Linked DNA regions of Canis lupus familiaris. The protein of the gene in region 3 purifies or fractionates together with the protein of the main gene of each other region. This does not show direct contact. Links are inferred from orthologs where the notes say so. Each region holds a gene or a part of one and is shown on either strand. Other genes may lie near its edges.

Region 1 (3,648 bases), on a different chromosome or scaffold from region 3:
AAGGGGCAGGAGAGGGAGAAGCAGACTCCTCGCTGAGCAGTACCCTGAAATCATGACCTGAGCTGAAGGCAGATATTTAGCTGACTGAGCCTCCCAGGCGGCCCTCAAATTTTGATTTAAAGAAAACGGAGAATAAAAAAAAAAAAAAAAAAAAAAAAAAGAAAAGAAAAAGGAGAATAATACATGTCAGACACTAATAGGCTCTCTTTAGTAATCTTCTGAAAATATCTACAGAATAGATACATTTATTATCCACATTTTAATTTTTTTTAATTTTTATTTATTTATGATAGTCACAGAGAGAGAAAGAGAGAGAGGCAGAGACACAGGCAGAGGGAGAAGCAGGCTCCACACAGGGAGCCCCATGTGGGACCTGATCCCGGGTCTCCAGGATCACACCCTAGGCCAAAGGCGGGCACCAAACCGCTGAGCCACCCAGGGATCCTTAGAGTATTTATCAAAGAGTTTCCAACAACTAGCTTTACATCGAGTGACTTCACTGTAGTGGCTCAGGAAGGGGCAGGCTCCCTCCTTCCCAATCACCCCATCAGATATCACCTGCTGCTGAGTTGCATGACAGAGTTTGGACTGGACGCCCCATACAAGGAGTCTTCAAAATGTTCAGACCCTCAAGTCTGGCCCATGAAGGAAAAAAAAAAAATCTTAACCTGGGAGTGAGAAAATAGTGGTTTAGGACCACTGCCTCCAAATCTACATCCTTCAACACTCAAGAAAAAAGCCCCATTACTGATCAACCCCAAGGCTACGAGCCCCCCATGTTTGGCAGTTATCTTCAGGTATAACTACTTTCCCTGGTGAGCTTCTTCCTTGACTTCTGGGTTAAATACAATGATGCCAATGCTGTCTCAGTCATTAACACCATCATCCTTTCTGTAAGAATTTCAGATGATGGTACACGTCTGATTTAATTCTTCCTTTTGTGTTTATATTTGGGGTTCCTTCCTTGTTTCTTTAAAGTAGGCACCAAGCCCAATATGGGGCTTGAACTCACCACCCTGAGATCAAGAGTCACATGCTCTACCAACTGAATCAGCCAAGGGCCCCTTAATTCTTCCTTTTGCATTGAGATAAGACTGTCGTTTCCTGTAGTTTCAAAAACTACAAATACGCTGAAATTAAAACATGAGATCTTAGGAATCAAATTAACACAGGGGCTAAAAAATTAAAATCTTAAAAAAAAAGGGGTGCTTGAATGGCTCAGTCAGTGGAGCCTGCAACTCTTGACCTTGGGGGTAATGAGATCAAGCCCCACACTGGGGGGAGAGACTACTCAAAACAAAACAAAACAGACAAAAAAAACAAAGCCAAACACAATCTTAAAACAAAAACAATTTAAAAATAACACAGGTACCAAAACTGTGGTAGAAGGTAGTCACTAGTGTAGCTTATATGCGCATCACCCCTCACGCCTCCCCCTCCAAGAGGGAAGGCCAGGTTACCATGGTCTCGGAGTTAAGTCTAAAACAGCAACCTAAACTGAGACCAAGCTAACTTGTTCTAGCCAAAGGAAGCCCAACTGTCTTCTGCAATAGTATTTCCGTGTAAGTCAGCTCCAGACACCTGGTCAGTGGTGATGGGCTTGGGACACAGTTCCCTCAGCAGTGGAGCAATATTTGGAGACTAATATTGAAAGCTGCGCTTGGTCTGGATATCATCAAGAATCTGCTGTAGCTCCTCATCTTCAAACCGCCCCTCCAAGCTACAAGAAGAAAACCAAAAGAAATGAGTATCTCAGGAATTGACAATGTTCCCTACACTCTTTTGAACACATGCTCATCTTTGAGCACCACTTATACACTTCTCCATTTACCTCTAAACACTGACACCTCTACCTTCAGCTTTATTTCTGCCATTCCTTTTAAACACATATGAAGTGTTTCAAAGATTTAAGAAAGTATAAAAATATGTTAACCCTAACAGCTACCCCTACTTGATTTAGATTTCTTTAATAAACACAACAGGAATAAATTAATGGCTCTGTGTATGCTCCCCCCATTGCAATACCTTCCCCAGAATTAATAACCATTATCCTGCATTTGTATTTATCATTCCTATACATATTTTTAAACTTATTATTATATACATATATAAAGGTATCTACAAGCCATATGCAGCACTGTTTTCAAACTTTTAAGAAATGACATTGTAATACATTTATCCTGCAAATTTTTTCACTCCGAATTGATTCTGGTATTAGTTATACTCCATATTGTTCCAGTTCATTAATTTTTGCACTGCTACATAAATGATTTATCCATCCTCTCGTTTACTGACTGTCAAGCTTCTGTTATCACTAACACTGCAGTAATGAACATTAGAATACATGCTTCCTTGTAGAATGGTATGAGCTGCTTTTAGGCATGTACCCAGGAATGGATTTTTAGATAACAGGGTATAATCATCTTTAACTTTACTAGATGTAGCCAAACTGCTCTCCAAAGTGACTGTACTAATTTGCACTCCTAGGATCCCTGGGTGGCACAGCGGTTTAGCGCCTGCCTTTGGCCCAGGGTGCGATCCTGGAGACCCGGGATCGAATCCCACGTCGGGCTCCCGGTGCATGGAGCCTGCTTCTCCCTCTGCCTGTGTCTCTGCCTCTCTCTCTCTCTCTCTGTGTGACTATCATAAAATAAATAAAAATAATAATAAAAAAGATATAATTTGCACTCCTACCACCAATGTGAGAGATTCAGCTGGTCCACATTTTTGCTAACAGCTGGCATGGCTACAAATCATATTCACACCCTGTTGGTGCTATCTGTCCCGATTTCAAAAATACATACTTTTTAGACAAAGTGATTCTACTTGTAGGAATTTTATACACAGAACTCAGCACAGCGGTGCTTACCTTGGTATCAGTGCCTTTGACTCCTCAGCAGTCTCTGGGCAAAGGTTGGCCAAACAGGCCAACTCAAACTTATGAAGCTTCTTCTGGAGCAACAAGCTGATCATGGTGAAGAAAATCAAAACAAACAAAATCAAAGAATGATGAGTAGGAAAAGAGAATGAAAAGTAGTTAACAAGTATGAAAAAAAAGTAAAGCACTTCCAATTATTTCTACATGGTTAAGCTTGGCTGCAAAATCTACTTTAAATTCACTTCCTGTTCCTATTCTTGGAGAACACAAAGTTACAATGAAATCAGGCAGACACAAAAGCAATCAGAGCACATCAGGCCTGAGAACCCCCTATTTTAACTTTTGAAAAATTACTATGTAATTTACGGACTGTACAACCTTCCCCAAGAATTTATTTTGCTGTTCTCTGCTTTTATCACTGTACCTTGCTTCTTTCAACATTAATTTTATTACAAATACATGATGTTTGTGTATTTTGACTTGGAAGGAAATTCTCTTAAACTTATCTAAAAGTTGATTAAGCGTCTGCCTTCAGCTCAGATCATGATCCCAGAGTCCTGGATGGAGCCCCACATTAGGCTCCCCTGCTCAGTGGGACTCCTGCTTCTCCTTCTCCCTCTGCCTGTTACTCCCCCTGCTTGTGTTTTCTCTCCCTGTCAAATAAATAAATAAAATCTTATAAACTTACCTAAAAAATAAATATAGGCATACCTTACTTTGTACAAATATTTGTGTAAACTGCATCTTCTTTTATTTTTGCATCTTATTTT
Region 2 (3,648 bases), about 46 Mb from region 3:
TCCCTTGCTGGCCAGCAGGTTGAGTTAGTATTTTCTAATCATCCTTAGGTTGCTTCACTGCTTGGAACCCAGAATGACTCATAATCACTTAGTGGGTTCCAGAAATTAGTCAGATTTAACTGAATTCAACATGTGTCCACGGAGAGTTGTAGAGAGGAAAGTGACCAAAAGGATATGTATATTATTTAAATAGTTGTAGATGTATAATTGGTAGTTGATTGAAAAACCTTGTCATTTATTTTGTACATATGTGTACAAATATGTACACTGCCTACTTATTGGGTGGGTGCTTAGACCACAGCTGAGGACCATTAATGACCATTAGAATCAGGGGATCCCTGGGTGGCGCAGCGGTTTGGCGCCTGCCTTTGGCCCAGGGCGCGATCCTGGAGACCCGGGATCGAATCCCACGTCGGGCTCCCGGTGCATGGAGCCTGCTTCTCCCTCTGCCTGTGTCTCTGCCTCTCTCTCTCTCTCTCTCTCTCACTCTCTGACTATCATAAATAAATAAAAATTAAAAAAAATGACCATTAGAATCACCTGACACAGGTTAAAATATAGATTCTTGGGCTTCATTCAAAATCAGGTGAAGCAGAATCCTTGGATGTATTGGAGTGGGGAGGCTGGGAATCTATATTTTCATAAGCTCCTTGGATGATTCTAATGCCAGCCACATTTGTGAACCCCACTGAATTAGAGGATATTTATTTAAAGAACTGTCTAACTCTTAGAGTCTGTGACTTTTTTTTTTTTTGGTACAGATTTTATGTATTTATTCATGAGACACACAGTGAGGGGCAGAAACACAGGCAGAGGGAGAAGTAGGCTCCTCGCAGGGAGCCTGATTTGGGACTCCGTCCCTGGAGTGGGATCACGCTGTGAGCCAAAGGCAGACACTCAACCACTTGAGCCATCTGGGCGTCCTTAGAGTCTGTGACTTTTAATGAAGATTAATGGTATAACACAGCACTATAGTTTTCAAGGCCCTGTTGCACAGTATTTGATGCAAGTAATGATTTGGTTAGTGTGTATGTATTCCTTTTCATTGTCCTCATTCTTGATGTCTTGTCTTCATAGTTCAGATTCATATATCTCACTTAGTTTTGTTTCTGAAAAGCAAGAAGTTAATGGATCTGAGAGTATAACTGCTTCAAGAAATCTAAAATAAAGTTGCCATGGAACATTTTAAATACTTCAGACTTTTAAAATGGATCCAAACATACACTCACCTCCTCTGGATTGGCCACTGTCAGCTGTCACACTTTCACTGAGCACAGGAACTCTACTGTGGGCAATTCACAAGCCCTGCAAATCTATATTCTGTTCTCCTACTGGCCGTACTGACTCTAGTTGCCTCACTTTTAATTAACTTTATTGCCTTTGAAAACAAAATGTATGAGGGGCTCCTGGGTGGTTGAGTTGGTTGAGAGGCCAACTCTTGATTTTGGCTCAGGTCAAAATGATGTTGATGTTGTGGGATCGAGTCCTGTGTTGGGCTCTGTGCAAGGTGTGGAGCCTGCTTGGGATTTTCTTTCTCCCTCTTCCTTTTCCCCTCCGTTTCCACCCCCCCCCCCTTTTGCGTGCTCTCTCTCTCTCTCTCCAAAAAATAAAAGAAAAACAAAATGAATGGGGCTTTTATAAAAACTTTTAAAGTCTTAGTCGAAATTTTATATAGCTGCTATTATTAGCACCCTGACTACTCACACTTACACTGGGTCTCTGAGTACCTGCCTAGCTTTTGAAGATTGGGTATGGAAGAGTGTGGAAGGACATACACTGAGGCTACCTGGAATGGTGTGCACATTTATTTAAATTAGTAGTGTTTGTTTTTGTAGCAGGGCAGAAGCTCTGTTTCCTCTCCTTGCTTGCCCTTACAGTTGTGAAGTGTGTATGAAATGGAATTTTTGTCAGGAAGATAAATCATCTTGTTTCAAACAGGTTGAAATACAAGTTTTCGTCAGAAAAACTCTTGTTTGCTTATAGATTAGATTGGTTTATTTTCCTTTCTGGTGGATGTTCATGCTTGCATGTACATTTCAGCAAGTTTTTTTTTTTTTTAAAGAGATTTTATTTATTTATTTATTAATGAGAGACACAGAGAGGCAGAAACATAGGCAGAGGGAGAAGCAGGCTCCCCTCAGGGAGCCCGATGTGGGACTTGATCTGAGCTGAAAGCAGAGCTTAATTGCTGAGCCATCCAGGTGTCCCTCAGCAAATTAAAATAGAGTTGTGTGAAGGGAAGTTTGATCATTTTATCTCTCTCAGCCACTCTCTTGATGTTAATAGCTAGAGATATATCTTTTCAGACTCATACAACATATATAAATATATATAGGTTTCCTGCCCTTTGAATAATCTCTTTGTATTATTCTGAAAAATATTTTCTCATAATTAACATATGGGCACCCCTCCCTCTAGGTCATTGTAAATAATATAGTAGTGACATACACACATATTCTAGGCTTTATCCAAGCCTATTGGACATTAGGCTTTTACCTATTATTGGACATTCCAGCTATTTTCTGTGTGCATTTATATTTACCATTACAAATAATGCTGTCATAAATCTGCATATATCTTTATAGACTGGTACATTTATTTCTTTGCTCACCAAGGGATGTGCAGCTGTTGTTGGTTCTAAAGATGGTCTTTTGTTTGTAGGTCAATGTGCGAAATGGAATGAGTTTGCATGATTGCCTTATGAAAGCACTCAAGGTGAGAGGCCTGCAGCCAGAGTGCTGTGCTGTGTTCAGACTTCTCCATGAACATAAAGGGTAAGAAATTAAAAGTCAACTCTTTTTTCATACAAGTAAGGAAGCTGATGACTTCAAATAATAATAGTTCTTTTTTTAAAAAGTATACTAGTTTCCTATAGAATATTATGTATTTATATTCCCTTGTGCATAGACAACTCAGAAAATTAAAATATTAAGAACTTGAAATTATTGTTTAAACATTGCATTGAGAAAAAGAATACATATTAGGTGTTGATAATATTCCATAAATGGAAGCAGTAGTGTCAGGTAATGTTTTCTTTAGAGTAAAAAATTTTTCTGTTTCCTGGAATGCAGTGGACAGAATGGGTACTCAGAAAGTGTTTGCATTATTATTTATAGTTAAAGAATCTTATCCTCAAGAGAGTAATAACTCTTATATAATTCATTTATTTAAAAGTTTTTACCTAAGTTATCTCTCCATTCATTGTGGGGCCTTGATCTCAGGACCTTGAGATCAAGAGTTGCATGCTTTTCTGACTGAGCCAGCCAGGTGCACCTCATTCATTCATTTATTTATTATATGGTTAATGCTTACTGAGTCCCTGCAATTTGGCAGACATAGGACTAAAAGATGCAGGAGAATTTCTGCTTCAAGGAAGATCCATAGTTAATCTTAGTTCTAATGGTGGTGGCAAGATAGAAGCATCCCATCAAAGGCTAGGAGCAATATTCCATAGCTTCTATTATCCATTATTATCCCCCTGAATTTGGGGGGAGTAATCTCTTGGAAAATGCTAGTTTCTTCTTTCTTCTTGGAAAATGCTAGTTCTGCTACTGATCTCCAGCTTGCATTTTTTCTGTTTCAAGGAGTTCTCCAGTTTGAGGGAATAGTCTAGGAAATGAGTCAACTCAAAGGGGCCAATTTAGATTC
Region 3 (4,151 bases):
GCTACACTGTACAGTGACTAGCTTTTCTTTTCACTCATCAAACATATTTTTGCTATGAGGCAGACGCTGTTTGGAGAGCATTCTACAGATTAACTCAATTTTTGCATCAAAGGTATGTATGAGATATATATATTTCTTATTCTCATTTGCAGATGGAGAAGCTGAAAAGCTGAAACACAGAGATTAGTTTCTTCAAAGTCATAGCCAGGCTTTGAACACAAGCGATCTGGCTCTTGAATGCTCTTAACCTACTATATCCTATTTCTTGTAGACATGTTTTCCCATGTTTTATATGACTGTGCCTCATTTTTTTTTTTTTAAGATTTTATTTATTCACGAGAGACACACACAGAGAGAGGCAGAGACAGGAAGAGGGAGAAGCAGGCTCCATGCATGGAGCCCGATGTGGTACTCGATTCCGGGACTCCAGGATCACGCCCTGAGCTGAAGGCAGGTGCTACGCCACTGAGCCACCCAGGGATCCCCGCCTCATTCTTTTTCAATGGTCACATAGGGGTCTAGTTCTAGATGAACTATCATTGAACTCTTCCTTGTTGGTGTCTTTGCCTCTCGTATCTATCTCCAGCCTGTCCCCAGGCACCTCCCCAGAGTCCCACAGGTGCCGCAGACTCAATTTTAAGACGATTCAAACTGAGCTCATCATCCTCCTACAGACGCATCCTCCTGTGTCGCCAGCTAAGTGGCCATGCCAACACCCACCAGTCACCCAGGACAGAGGCAGGAGCCAGACCGAGAGAATAAGTTAAGTAGGTTCCAAAGGAAGTAGAAGATGTTTGGTCAGTGGCACAGGGAAAGGGTTAGTCTCGCAAAAGAAAAAAAAAAAGTGGGGGGACAGCTTTGGACATCTGGAGGAAACAGGTGGGGAGAAGGAGGATGGAGGAGCCAAATTTAGGCTTCTTCGCTGCTCATCACCAAGGCAACTGCGTTGCTACGGCAACAGCTAAGGCAGCACCGCCTCTTTCAAGTACCTCGTGGGCTGCCGTCACCTCGAAACCACCCGGACACTTCCGCATAAGGGGGCGCGGGCCTCCGGGAACGGCTGAGGAAGGCGGGAACTACTGCCGCAGTAGCCAATCGGATGGGGCCTGCGGCGAAGGACGCAAAGGAGGTGCCCGGACTTCTGTGAAGCTCGCCGGAGGCTGTGGAGAAGGACGGGCTCCAGCCCCTTCCCTACCAGTCAGCGGCCGAGGGAGGAAGGGGGCGGGATCCGGGGGAGGCCGTACGGGGGCGGGACCCGGTAGAACGCACGGAGGGTCCGCCCAGTCTCGCCGCTACCCAATAGAAAGCCCGAAGGCCTCTCCGGACTGCTCGGGCGCCCAATGAGCATCGTCGCCGGGCCCCGGGGCGAGGCGGGCCGAGCCAATCGGCGGCGGCGGTGGGCGGGTGCGGGCGGCATAGGCGGTGCGGCGGAGGCGGAGCGGGCGCTGCGGCAGGAGGGAAGATGGCGGACGAGGAGAAGCTGCCGCCCGGCTGGGAGAAGCGCATGAGCCGCAGCTCAGGTGCCGCGGGGGTCGGGGCTGGGGCGGGGCCGCGCGGGCCCGCGGAAGCAGGGCTCGAGCTCGCCCCTGGGGCGCGGCGCCGCCGCCCGATTCCCGTGGGGTCTTGGCTCCTCCGCGTCTTCCCAGGGTAACGGCCCGGGCCCGCCCCGTGGGGGCTGCGAACCTCAGGAGCGGGGATGCCGGAGGAAACTGAGGCAAGGGGCGGGGCCGGAGAGACCCAGCGCGCTGCCGGGGGTGGGGGGGGCGGGGGCGGGGGGCCGGGGATCCCGCAGCACTCCCCCAGGTGATGGCCCTGGCCCTGCCGATCCGGCTGACACCTTTTGGCCTATTGCACCCGACGTCCCCGGGGACCGTGTCTGCACCCTGCTGGGCCCGGGGGGCACCCCGGGGAAGGACACCCCAACCCCACGCTCAGGGCGTGGCCTCAGAGCGTTGCCGGGCCTCGGGCCCACAACCTGCCCCTGCTAACCCGCCGGCCATCCCCGCCTAACCCGAGTCTGTCGTCGCCGCCCGGTGGATGGACCCTGTGCCGGGAGCCCGATCTGAGGCTTATCCACAGTAATAATACCCGTAACCGCACGCTCATCTTACCGCCCAGCCCTGTGCCAAGTGTGTTTGGAGTGTGTTCTCCCTCTCTCTCTCTGAATGACCACAACTCTGGGAGGTGGATAGTTATCACCCCGTTTTGCAGGTGAGGAAGCAGAAGTCAGAAAACTTAAGGAGCTCCCCCAAGGTCATTCATTTCAGGGGGTGGGGGCTGGATTAGAGTCCGGTCAGTCTGACAGCAGAGCCCGCCTGCCCTTGTCACTGCAGACCAGTGAGGAGCAGGCCCAGCATCTCACCGCACTGCCTCCCCAGCCCATAAAAATCACAGTCACAGTGATATCTGCTCATTGAAGGCCAGGCCCTCTGGTGAGCACTTTGCACGGATCATCACTGTTCTCCACATTAGCCCCGTGAAGTTATGTCCTTAATCTCTCGCTTCACCCCCACTTTTCAGATGAGAAAACCAAGGTTCATGGAGAGAGAGGCCATTGCAAGGTTTTAGGGTCGGTCACTGGCTCAGCTCTCACTGAGCCCGCTCCAGCCCTGCTCCGTGGCCACAGCTGACAGCATGAATCCTGATGCTCTGCCCTGTTCTGGGCCCCCTCTCTGGCCATTTCTGCTCGGCTCCACCCTAATGGTCTTCCTCAGGGGTGACCTTCAGTTCTTCACGGTGCTGGGTGCCAGTCGTGCAAAAATCTCAGCCCCTGGAATGATGCCTGGGCTCTCCTGGGTTCTACCTCAATCTTCTCTCTTGTGGCCTTCCCTCCTTCCTGCTCCTTGGGCCCTGGGTAACGTTTGACCCCCCTGTACTGCTGGTCCATAGTTGTGCAGCGCTGTACACTGGGTGCGGGTTAAGAACAGAGCTTTCATGTTTGGCAACCTGGGTTTAATTCCTGCCTCCAGCCATGTGTGCCTGGGGCCAAGTGTACACTCAGGAAACATTCCAAAGGTGTGGAAGGTGAGGCCTCACTTCTGTCGTCTACAGGGAGATGATAGCTGTCACGCTCCTAATGTGTACTGGGCACTAGTCTAAGTGTGTTACCGCTGTGAGCTCACTCAGTCCTTAGCACAACCCTACAGGCAGGGACTGTTGTTATCTGCATTTTACAGGTGACAAAATCAAGGCCCAGAGAGGTTAGCTCACACAGTGAGTGACAGCCAGACTTGAACAGGCAGCCTGGCTGCCTGTCCCCACACCGGCTTCGTCTCTCCTGTCACTCTGGGTGGTTTTCCTCCTTGAAGTCACTAATAACTGAAGTTATGACATTGTCTTATTTGCTTGTCTGGGGCCTGCCCATCCCCATCTAGAATGCTGGCTCCCTCGGGGCCTGTAGCTCGAGGTGGACTCAGGGGATTTGTTGAATGAAGGAATCCCATTGGCCGGTCCGTCATCTTGGCCTCCGGGTGGTGTCCTTTGAGCAGGTCCCAGCTGAATTCCTGTATCCCCCCTCCTCCAGGCCGGGTATACTACTTCAATCACATTACTAATGCCAGCCAGTGGGAGCGGCCGAGTGGCAACAGCAGCAGTGGCAGCAAAAATGGACAAGGGGAGCCCACCAGGGTCCGCTGCTCGCACCTGCTTGTCAAGCACAGCCAGTCCCGGCGGCCCTCATCCTGGCGACAGGAGAAGATCACCAGGACCAAGGAGGAGGCCCTGGAGCTGATTAATGGTGAGCAGAGTTGGAAGCAGGTTGGAGTGGGGGGAATGTGGGGAGAGGTTGTCCCCTCATTGGGAGCTGGAGCCAGCCTCGTAGAAATCACACCAGGCCCTGCACCCCAGCTAACTCAGCTGTCAGCATTGGCTGCCACCGAACTGCCTGTACGTGACGTGAGCCTGGACTGCACAGCTGCCTCTCCTTTTTCTTTCTATTTGGCATTTGAGGGTGAGCCAGGTTACGAGAGGAGGACCCAGCCTTGGGGGCTGGCAGCCCTGGGTTCAGATGGTGGCTATGCCCTGTAAGCTCCAGGGGGAGCTTGTGTCATCTTGAGACTCAGTTTTCCCCTCTGTAAAATGGGTGTTGTCACATACCTGCCCATACCTGGTGTGTAGGTGCCAAGAAAACTATGAAATCAGCAGCATTTAGC

Evidence for each region.
Region 1: the proteins of PIN1 (region 3) and POLR2D purify together in Homo sapiens (co-immunoprecipitation; 3 studies listed by BioGRID and IntAct, with this or other methods). This does not show direct contact. The link is inferred for Canis lupus familiaris from reciprocal best matches to the Homo sapiens genes PIN1 and POLR2D.
Region 2: the proteins of PIN1 (region 3) and RAF1 purify together in Homo sapiens (co-immunoprecipitation; 3 studies listed by BioGRID and IntAct, with this or other methods). This does not show direct contact. The link is inferred for Canis lupus familiaris from reciprocal best matches to the Homo sapiens genes PIN1 and RAF1.

Annotation. Positions count from the first base shown.
Region 1 is NC_049240.1:24,124,296-24,127,943, reverse strand, and holds the end of POLR2D (DNA-directed RNA polymerase II subunit RPB4), read right to left. Parts: intron 2,966-3,648; coding exon 2,870-2,965; intron 1,721-2,869; coding exon 1,642-1,720; 3' UTR 187-1,641; downstream 1-186. UniProt on the Homo sapiens protein: Core component of RNA polymerase II (Pol II), a DNA-dependent RNA polymerase which synthesizes mRNA precursors and many functional non-coding RNAs using the four ribonucleoside triphosphates as substrates.
Region 2 is NC_049241.1:6,018,810-6,022,457, forward strand, and holds part of RAF1 (RAF proto-oncogene serine/threonine-protein kinase), read left to right. Parts: intron 1-2,661; coding exon 2,662-2,774; intron 2,775-3,648. UniProt on the Homo sapiens protein: Serine/threonine-protein kinase that acts as a regulatory link between the membrane-associated Ras GTPases and the MAPK/ERK cascade, and this critical regulatory link functions as a switch determining cell fate decisions including proliferation, differentiation, apoptosis, survival and oncogenic transformation.
Region 3 is NC_049241.1:51,560,335-51,564,485, reverse strand, and holds the start of PIN1 (peptidyl-prolyl cis-trans isomerase NIMA-interacting 1), read left to right. Parts: upstream 1-1,314; 5' UTR 1,315-1,462; coding exon 1,463-1,520; intron 1,521-3,523; coding exon 3,524-3,736; intron 3,737-4,151. UniProt on the Homo sapiens protein: Peptidyl-prolyl cis/trans isomerase (PPIase) that binds to and isomerizes specific phosphorylated Ser/Thr-Pro (pSer/Thr-Pro) motifs.